Linked DNA regions of Tribolium castaneum. The protein of the gene in region 1 purifies or fractionates together with the protein of each later gene. This does not show direct contact. Links are inferred from orthologs where the notes say so. Each region holds a gene or a part of one and is shown in the gene's direction. Other genes may lie near its edges.

Region 1 (4,556 bases):
AGAAATTGCCTATTTTAATTTTTAGCAAAAAATTTTAAAATGTCGTATTTCGTTGAAAGTTGGTATAATACAGAAAATGAGCCGCTGAATCCAATGGAACAAACCGCATTGCTCTACGACTTTTAGTTTTTGAGTTATGAATTTTTTTGTTGAATAAAATTTTCCTCTATAGAAATTGCCTATCTTAATTTTTAGCAAAAAAAATTAAAATGTCAGATCTCGTTGAAAGTTGGTATAATACAGAAAATGAGCCGCTGAATTCAATCGAACAAACCGCATTGCTCTACGACTTTTAGTTTTTAAGTTATGAATTTTTTTGTTGAATAAAATTTTTCTCTATGGAAATTGCCTATCTTAATTTTTAGCAAAAAATTAAAAAATGTCAGATCTCGTTAAAAGTTGGTATAATACAGAAAATGACCCGCTGAATTCAATGGAACAAACCGCATTGCTCTAGGACTTTTAGTTTTTGAGTTATGAATTTTTTTGTTAAATAAAATTTTTCATTATAGAAATTGTCTATCTTAATTCTTAGCAAAAAATCTTAAAATGTCAGATCTCGTTGAAAGTTGGTATAATACAGAAAATGAGCCGCTGAATCCAATGGAACAAACCGCATTGCTCTACGACTTTTAGTTTTCGAGTTATAAATTTTTTTGTTGACTCTTTGACGGATTAAATTTTCGATTTGTGTTTTTTATTTAAATCACTCTGTATATTATTTTATCAACGAACAGTTGGTTTTACATAAAGTAAGCAAACTGTACGTCCTTGCATTTATTCAGATATTTCATTCGGAAGTCTGATAAATATTCACACTTGTCTCATATCCGGAACAGTTCTCATTTTATTTAAATTGAAAAAAAAAATCAAACAAACGTCTCACATTAAACTATTACGAAAAGGAACATTTTTTTATATAAGTTATTAAAAATTTCGTAATAAAAATTATCTTGTACAAGTTTTGATCAATTACATTGTTATCTTTGTTAGCTTTAGTCTAGTGTCTGGAATGTTACAATTTGTTTGTTATCTTATCAGGAAGTTAAACGATGTACAAAAGTTATAATTTGTCGCTTTTATCACAATGGCAATTAATAAATTCGTAGCTATTAAGTTGCAAAACTACGTTACGCCACTGGATACCAAAAACAAATAAATCAAAACAATTTTTACCTTTTTATCCAAGTCATGAAACAGCAATTTGCATTATAATAATAAATGTAATTTAACTGTTGTTGCGGAGAACAAAGCTACAATTTGTCACGTTTCATTAGAATTCATGAAAAAATTTAAATTGTCACAATAACTATAAACAACCAAAGGGTTGTCAGCCCTGACCTGCCCATTTGTTTACATAACCCCAGGTTACTAAACCTCACAAAATAAAAAACACACGTCAAAACATGCAATTTATTAAACAACACGACCTTGTACAGATTTTTCACCAAACCTTAAAAAACCGGTCAAAGTCAAGTGACAAGGCCACCGTTCAAACCCCGCGCCATTGCACTGTGGCCGCGCACGCGCAGCTCACTTGACCGCATTGACATTGAGCGTTCAAATTTCAAGAAAACGCAAAGATTAGAGAGCGATTAGGACGTTAAAAGCCGATTACGAGAGTTGTGTTTCAAAAGGTGTGCGTTTGTGTACGTCGGTCGTTGATTAGCGTCCCTAACCTCACATTTCCAGCCGACCGAAAATGAGCCTCTCTTCGACCGTGGTGGCCACAGCCCCCTTCGAGGGCCAGAAGCCGGGCACGAGCGGCCTCCGGAAGAAAGTCAAAGTTTTCATGGAGAAAAACTACACGGAGAATTTCGTGCAGTGCATTTTGGACGCTTTGGGGCCCAAGCTCAAGGGGGCGACGTTGGTGGTGGGCGGCGACGGCCGGTATTTCTCCAAACAGGCGATCAATATTATCATTCGGATTGCGGCAGCTAATCAGGTTGCTTTGTTCACTAGTTTAGTGATTTTTTTATTCAATTTTTTTGGACAGGTGGCTAGACTGATAATTGGGGAACGGGGGATTTTGTCAACCCCGGCGGTTTCGACGCTCATTCGCACGCATAAAGTCTTGGGCGGGATTGTCTTAACTGCCTCACATAATCCGGGCGGAATTAGGCACGATTTTGGTATTAAATTTAATATAGAAAATGGGGGCCCTGCCCCGGATTCGTTCACGAACGCTGTGTACGAATTGACGAAGAAAATCACGGAGTATAAGTTCACCCCCGACTTGGATTGCGAATTTGATAAAAAGGGGGTGCAGAAGTTTACCGTTGATGGGAGGGAGTTTGTGGTGGAAGTTGTGGATTCGTCCGATGATTATGTGGCGTTAATGAAGGAGATTTTCGATTTTGGGAAATTGAAAGATTTGATTCGGGGGAATGGGAAAAGGCCGCCGTTCCAGGTTTTGATTGATTCAATGAATGGGGGTGAGTTAGGCAACCAATTATACACTTGATTAATAATACGGAAATTGGTGCACAATTAATTATTATTCACTTGATTATCGATTAAAATAACAGGATGGGTTCGTGTTTGCTGATTGTATCCTTGAACCGGATAATTCCGGTTTAATTGAATGCTTTCCGTAATAAAGTTCAAAAAATTATCGCATACATGTGATAAAGTCGTGTCTTTTTGGACTGTTTTATGTTTTTAGTGCCTTACTTAATTTAACTGCGTTGTTGTTGTCACAGTTAAATGTGTTTTTTTATGGAAATAAATTAATGATAACCACAAAGTTAAAAATACATAAATTAATGACACGATTTTTCGTTTGAACTAGGCGTCTAAATGTGTTGCTAGTAATAAGAAAACTACATTTAAAATAAATAATAAAGTTTATTAAAAAATTAGTTCGGTTTTTAAGATTAAAAATCAATGACGTGTTTCGTTATCAAAGTTGAACTACATTTTTGTGCGATAGATTATGAACCTTGTATAGTTATTGCCAACGTATATTTTGTACATTATCTCATTCTTTTTGCCCAAAAATTTTGAGGAAGCAAATAATAAAAGTGAAAAAAATTAATAAAAATTGTGGTATTTTACCAAAAAATCTAAAAATCATATTAGCCTTGATTATCAAATACAAAAAATATACAGGGTGTTTAACATAACTTCACAAAGCCTCCGCCTATGTAAAAGTCACAAAACACTAGATACAAAAAATTACATTTAATTATTTAATTTTTGGAAACCCGTGACAGTGGTTATCAACTTAATCACAGTCTCATTAATTTTTACCAAAAATTGTTATGTGTTCTATTAAAAGATAAAATAAATTTGATTCTAATCTATTTTATTACTAACTACCAAAAAAGCAGTATTTTTTTGAAGGGGTGAACAAACTAGAGAAAACTACTTAATTTTTCAAAATTTTTGGTCGAGTTTGTATGGGAATATGTATTCTTGGTTGCATTTTACAGGCGGAAAATTATGTGAAACACCTTGTACTCCTTCTGTTCGAAAATATGGAATTTATTTTTGTTGGAATTTAAGGTTCACGTTTTTAATTATTTTAATAAAATAATTGTTAATTATTTAAGTATCTTTAGTAGTAACAAAGATAATTACGAATAAAATTAATAAAATGGAACTTTTATCTCGAACCTTTTCACAATTTCTTGCGATAATTTTTTTACGTATTTTTGTCACTAAACAATGTTTAAGAATGTACTACAATGACATAAGGAAATAATAAAAAATAAAATAAAAATATATAAAAAAATTATAAATAATATTTTTACTATATGTAATATGTAATTACTTTTGTTAATGTAAAATGTGTATTTTTTGCATACTTATTTTTAAAACATACTATTAACTTACCATTTGCATTTAAATCTTGAGTTTCTTTTTTTTTTAATTATTTTTTATAATAGGAAGTCTCGATACTTCAAAGTTTTTGCTGCCAACTATATTTTTTATACTTCTCATAGAAAAATTAAGTCAAAACATTTAATAAACTTACAAAAGTGCTTTATTAAGCCAGTCATCAAGTCTTTTAAGTTTATTTCTGTATCAGTCTGTACTTCAATTTTTACTTTTTCTTTCTTATTTTTCCCAAATAAATATAAAAACACGTAGTAGGACTAGGAATTTTTTTGTTGGGTTGTATTAAAAACACAATAAATAAATTACAATTTATTTAATACTTGCAAAATTACAAAACGACGACAAAAAAACAGAATAAGAGATAATACTATCTAAAACAAAATTATACTAATGATCCCAATATGACATTAGTTTAATTCTGAATTAAATCTTAATTGTGCTTTCTGTAAACCGGCCCTAAAACATGTCATTCGGTGTTATAATGAACAATTATCAGAAAATATATTCCTCGTTCTTATAATTGGGTCGTTATTTTTAACTGCGTGCCAAGAAGAAATCGTTACACAATGCACACAACAATCCTGTTGTGGCTTTTATGCAATTGGCAATAAAAAACCAGTACTTATTTAAATAATTACCGCACAATTAACCCAAACTACACATGACTCAACAATAAAATCTCAACTACGCAGTGACTGGAGTTTACGTCAGCC
Region 2 (3,488 bases), on another chromosome or scaffold:
GAGACCATCCGCATGCCCAAAACCTCCACCGAGGCGGAAGTCCTCGCCAAGGTGCACCAGCTCAACGAGGACCCCCAGGTGGACGGCATCCTGGTGCAACTGCCGGTGCCGGAAGGCATCGACGAGCGCAAGGTCTGCAACGCCGTGGACCCCCGCAAGGACGTGGACGGCTTCCACATCCTCAACGTGGGGAAGCTCACCCTCAACATGGACACCTTCGTCCCAGCCACGGCCTTGGGAGTCATCGAGCTGATCAAGCGCTCGAATATCAAGACCTTCGGAAAAAATGTGCTTATTTGCGGGCGCTCGAAGAACGTGGGGCTGCCTATGGCGATGCTGTTGCATTCGGACGCGCGGAATGAACTCTCGGGAGGGGAGGCCACCGTGGTGCTCTGCCACAGGAATACGCCTCCAGAAGAATTGGAGTTTTTCGCAAAAAGGGCCGATATTATTATAAGTGCTACGGGGGTTGTGGGGCTCATTAAACCGAGTATGATTAAGCCAGGGGCTTGTGTTATTGATGTGGGCATTACGAGGATTACGACCCCGGAAGGCAAGAGTAAAATTGTTGGAGATGTTGATTTTGAAGGGGTGAGCAAAATTGCGGGGCATATTACACCGGTCCCGGGGGGCGTTGGCCCCATGACTGTCGCCATGCTCATGCACAACACCTTTAAAGCTGCCATGGATCTTGCGAAAAGTTCATAAGTATTATATTTGTTTGGACAGTATTGTCAAATTATTTATTTTTTAATAAAAATTTAAATCTGATGCTTTGTTTTGGTTACCAACCTTTTTATCCCAGTTTCGCCGTTATCGGCCTATTACCTTTTTATAAACTATAAAGTGGGGCTTTTTCCTTCGATGTGAAGTGTAACATGTGGAAAAAAATTCCGCCTTTAATTCCAAATCCCATGATAGCAGAACATTCTTTTTGTCGTCATTATTCATATTTACTGTTATTAATTATTATATACGCAAATTCATATAATTTTATTTGTGAATTAAATTAACAAAATCACGTTTTCTGTCCACTTTTTAAATGTCGTTACACTTATAAACATAACAAACACCATTGATCCAAATAATAAATCCAAATAATAAATATAAATAAATATATAAATATATTTATTTATATAAAATATATATAAATAATATAAATAAAAATAAATAAATATATAAATAATTCTAATAACAAAAAAAAATAAAAAAATTAACTGGTAAAATCGTCAAATTCCATCTTTTCAAGGATCAGAATTTCTGCAAAATGGAAGCACTTTTTGTGTCTTTATTTAATTAGATATTTTTTTTAAATTATTTTGGAATCATAAATAAAAATCACTTGATGTAAACAAAGTAATATCTGTCTAAACCCCATATAGAACTTTTTTAGAAATAAGAAAATTATTAAAATGCCTGAACTGTGCTTAGAATATTTTTTGAAGCATTTTCCGTTAAAATTATTCCAAAAATCGTCGAATTTAAGGATTATTGGTGATATTTGTGTTGTTAGTGTTTAGTGCAAATTTTTTTTTACTAAGCTCGTTTGAAAATATGCAAGTGACACAGTTGGCGACACTGCAGCTGGACTTTGGTGAATTTTACTTTTCCAAGCCGGCGACATTGCAAAATGCCAACCAGCCAATAATTAAAAAATTAACTTCACAATTAAATGCTTTTTACCACAAAAATGACTGTCCAATTTGGCTTTTCTTTGACCCGACTTTCTGCAACAATTACTTTCACTCCCCAACGATTTCTTCCAAAGTCCAGTCGGACATTGCTAGTGCAAAAAACCAAAATTCACACAAATTGCCCAAAAATGACCCGACCTTCGGTCTACATAACACGCAAAATCAACGAAGAAGCCCTCAAATTACTATCAGCGACGTGAGTACCCAAAAAAATGAAAAAAACCTAACCTAAAAAACAATTATGACAGCTGTGATATAACATCATGGCCAGGACCGGATCCAGTCCCGCGCTCCGAACTCCTAAAAAACATCCCCGGAAAGGACGCCCTTTTCTGCATGCTCACCGACAAGATCGACAAAGAGGTGCTTGAAAAAGCCGACAAACTCAAAGTAATCTCGACCATGTCGGTGGGTTACGACCACCTGGAAATCCCCGAAATAAAAAAGCGCCAAATCAAAATCGGGTACACCCCCGATATTCTCACCGACGCTACGGCCGAACTCACCGTGGCTTTGCTCCTAGCCACCAGTCGGCGCCTCCTTGAGGCCAACGCCGAGGCGCGGACTGGGGGCTGGAAGGCCTGGGCCCCCTTCTGGATGTGCGGCCCAGGCCTCGGGGGCGCCACTGTGGGCATTGTGGGCTTCGGCCGAATTGGCCAAGAGGTGGCCAAGCGGCTAAAGCCCTTCAACACGCGTCAGATTCTTTACCACAGCCGATCGGCTAAAAAAGAGGCCGAGGAAATCGGGGCCCGGAAAGTCACTCTAGATGAGTTGCTCACACAAAGCGATTTTGTGGTCGTTTGTTGTGCGTTGACCCCCGAAACGAAGGGGATGTTCAACGAGGGGGCGTTTAAAAAAATGAAAAAAAGCGCCGTTTTTGTTAATACGAGTCGAGGGGCTGTTGTGGATCAGGATGCCTTGGTTAGGGCGCTTCAGAGTGGGGAGATTTGGGGCGCTGGGTTGGATGTGATGACTCCTGAGCCCTTGCCCCTCGATGATCCGCTTTTTGGGCTGAAAAATTGTGTCATCTTGCCGCACATTGGCAGTGCGTGTATTGAGACAAGGAATCAGATGGCTGTTCTTACAGCTAATAATATTTTAGAGGCTTTAAGAGGTGGCAAAATGCCTGCCGAGCTGATTCTGTAAAAGGGGAAAAAATAAAGAATTTCTAATGATTTCGCCGTGTTTTTGTTTCTAATTTTACACCAATTCATGTTAATAAACCGTTCTAAATGATGGTAAATTTAAAAGTATTGCTGGGTGATTCTAGAATTTCTCTATTTTTGGACTTTTTGATATGCGATGATCGTATATTTGCTCAACTGAAAATAACTTACATATCGTTTATTTTTTAAACTTTTAGATTAGTTACACCTTTTAAGTGTAATAGTTTTTCCATGGCCAAATGTTATCAAACAGAAAATTAGTATATTTATCAAAAACGATAAAAAAAGTGCGTTATTTTGCGTATCAGAAAAAAATATTTGCGTGTACAACCCTCTGAAGTTGTTAGAAGTAGAAAAAAGTCAATAGGTTCAACTTTTAAGACTTTGATTTCTCCAATTTTGTCGCGGTTTTGGTCGATTTCGGGTACCCGGAACATTTCTCGAGCAATAGCTCCGGAACTATTAGAGATAACCCCATGAAGTGTATTATCGTTGGAAAGCTCTTTAAATTATCTATTTTTTTCAAAAAAAAATCGACAAACTTAAAAAATTACATTGCTACTGAAAAACGAGCTCAAAAAAATAAAAATAAACGCAGGCGCGAAAATTTTAATTTGAAGTTAATTCT

What was found.
Region 2: the proteins of Pgm1 (region 1) and glyoxylate reductase/hydroxypyruvate reductase fractionate together in Homo sapiens (co-fractionation; 3 studies listed by BioGRID). This does not show direct contact. The link is inferred for Tribolium castaneum from reciprocal best matches to the Homo sapiens genes PGM1 and GRHPR.

Annotation. Positions count from the first base shown.
Region 1 is NC_087401.1:12,928,673-12,933,228, forward strand, and holds the start of Pgm1 (phosphoglucomutase), read left to right. Parts: upstream 1-1,483; 5' UTR 1,484-1,637; intron 1,638-1,645; exon of another isoform or gene 1,646-1,692; 5' UTR 1,693-1,702; coding exon 1,703-1,945; intron 1,946-1,996; coding exon 1,997-2,435; intron 2,436-4,535; coding exon 4,536-4,556. UniProt on the Homo sapiens protein: Catalyzes the reversible isomerization of alpha-D-glucose 1-phosphate to alpha-D-glucose 6-phosphate. The mechanism proceeds via the intermediate compound alpha-D-glucose 1,6-bisphosphate.
Region 2 is NC_087399.1:691,208-694,695, forward strand, and holds glyoxylate reductase/hydroxypyruvate reductase, read left to right. Parts: upstream 1-1,586; 5' UTR 1,587-1,672; coding exon 1,673-1,890; intron 1,891-1,942; coding exon 1,943-2,840; 3' UTR 2,841-2,870; downstream 2,871-3,488. Other genes in the region: Nmdmc (bifunctional methylenetetrahydrofolate dehydrogenase/cyclohydrolase, mitochondrial), read left to right, coding at 1-708. UniProt on the Homo sapiens protein: Enzyme with hydroxy-pyruvate reductase, glyoxylate reductase and D-glycerate dehydrogenase enzymatic activities. Reduces hydroxypyruvate to D-glycerate, glyoxylate to glycolate, oxidizes D-glycerate to hydroxypyruvate.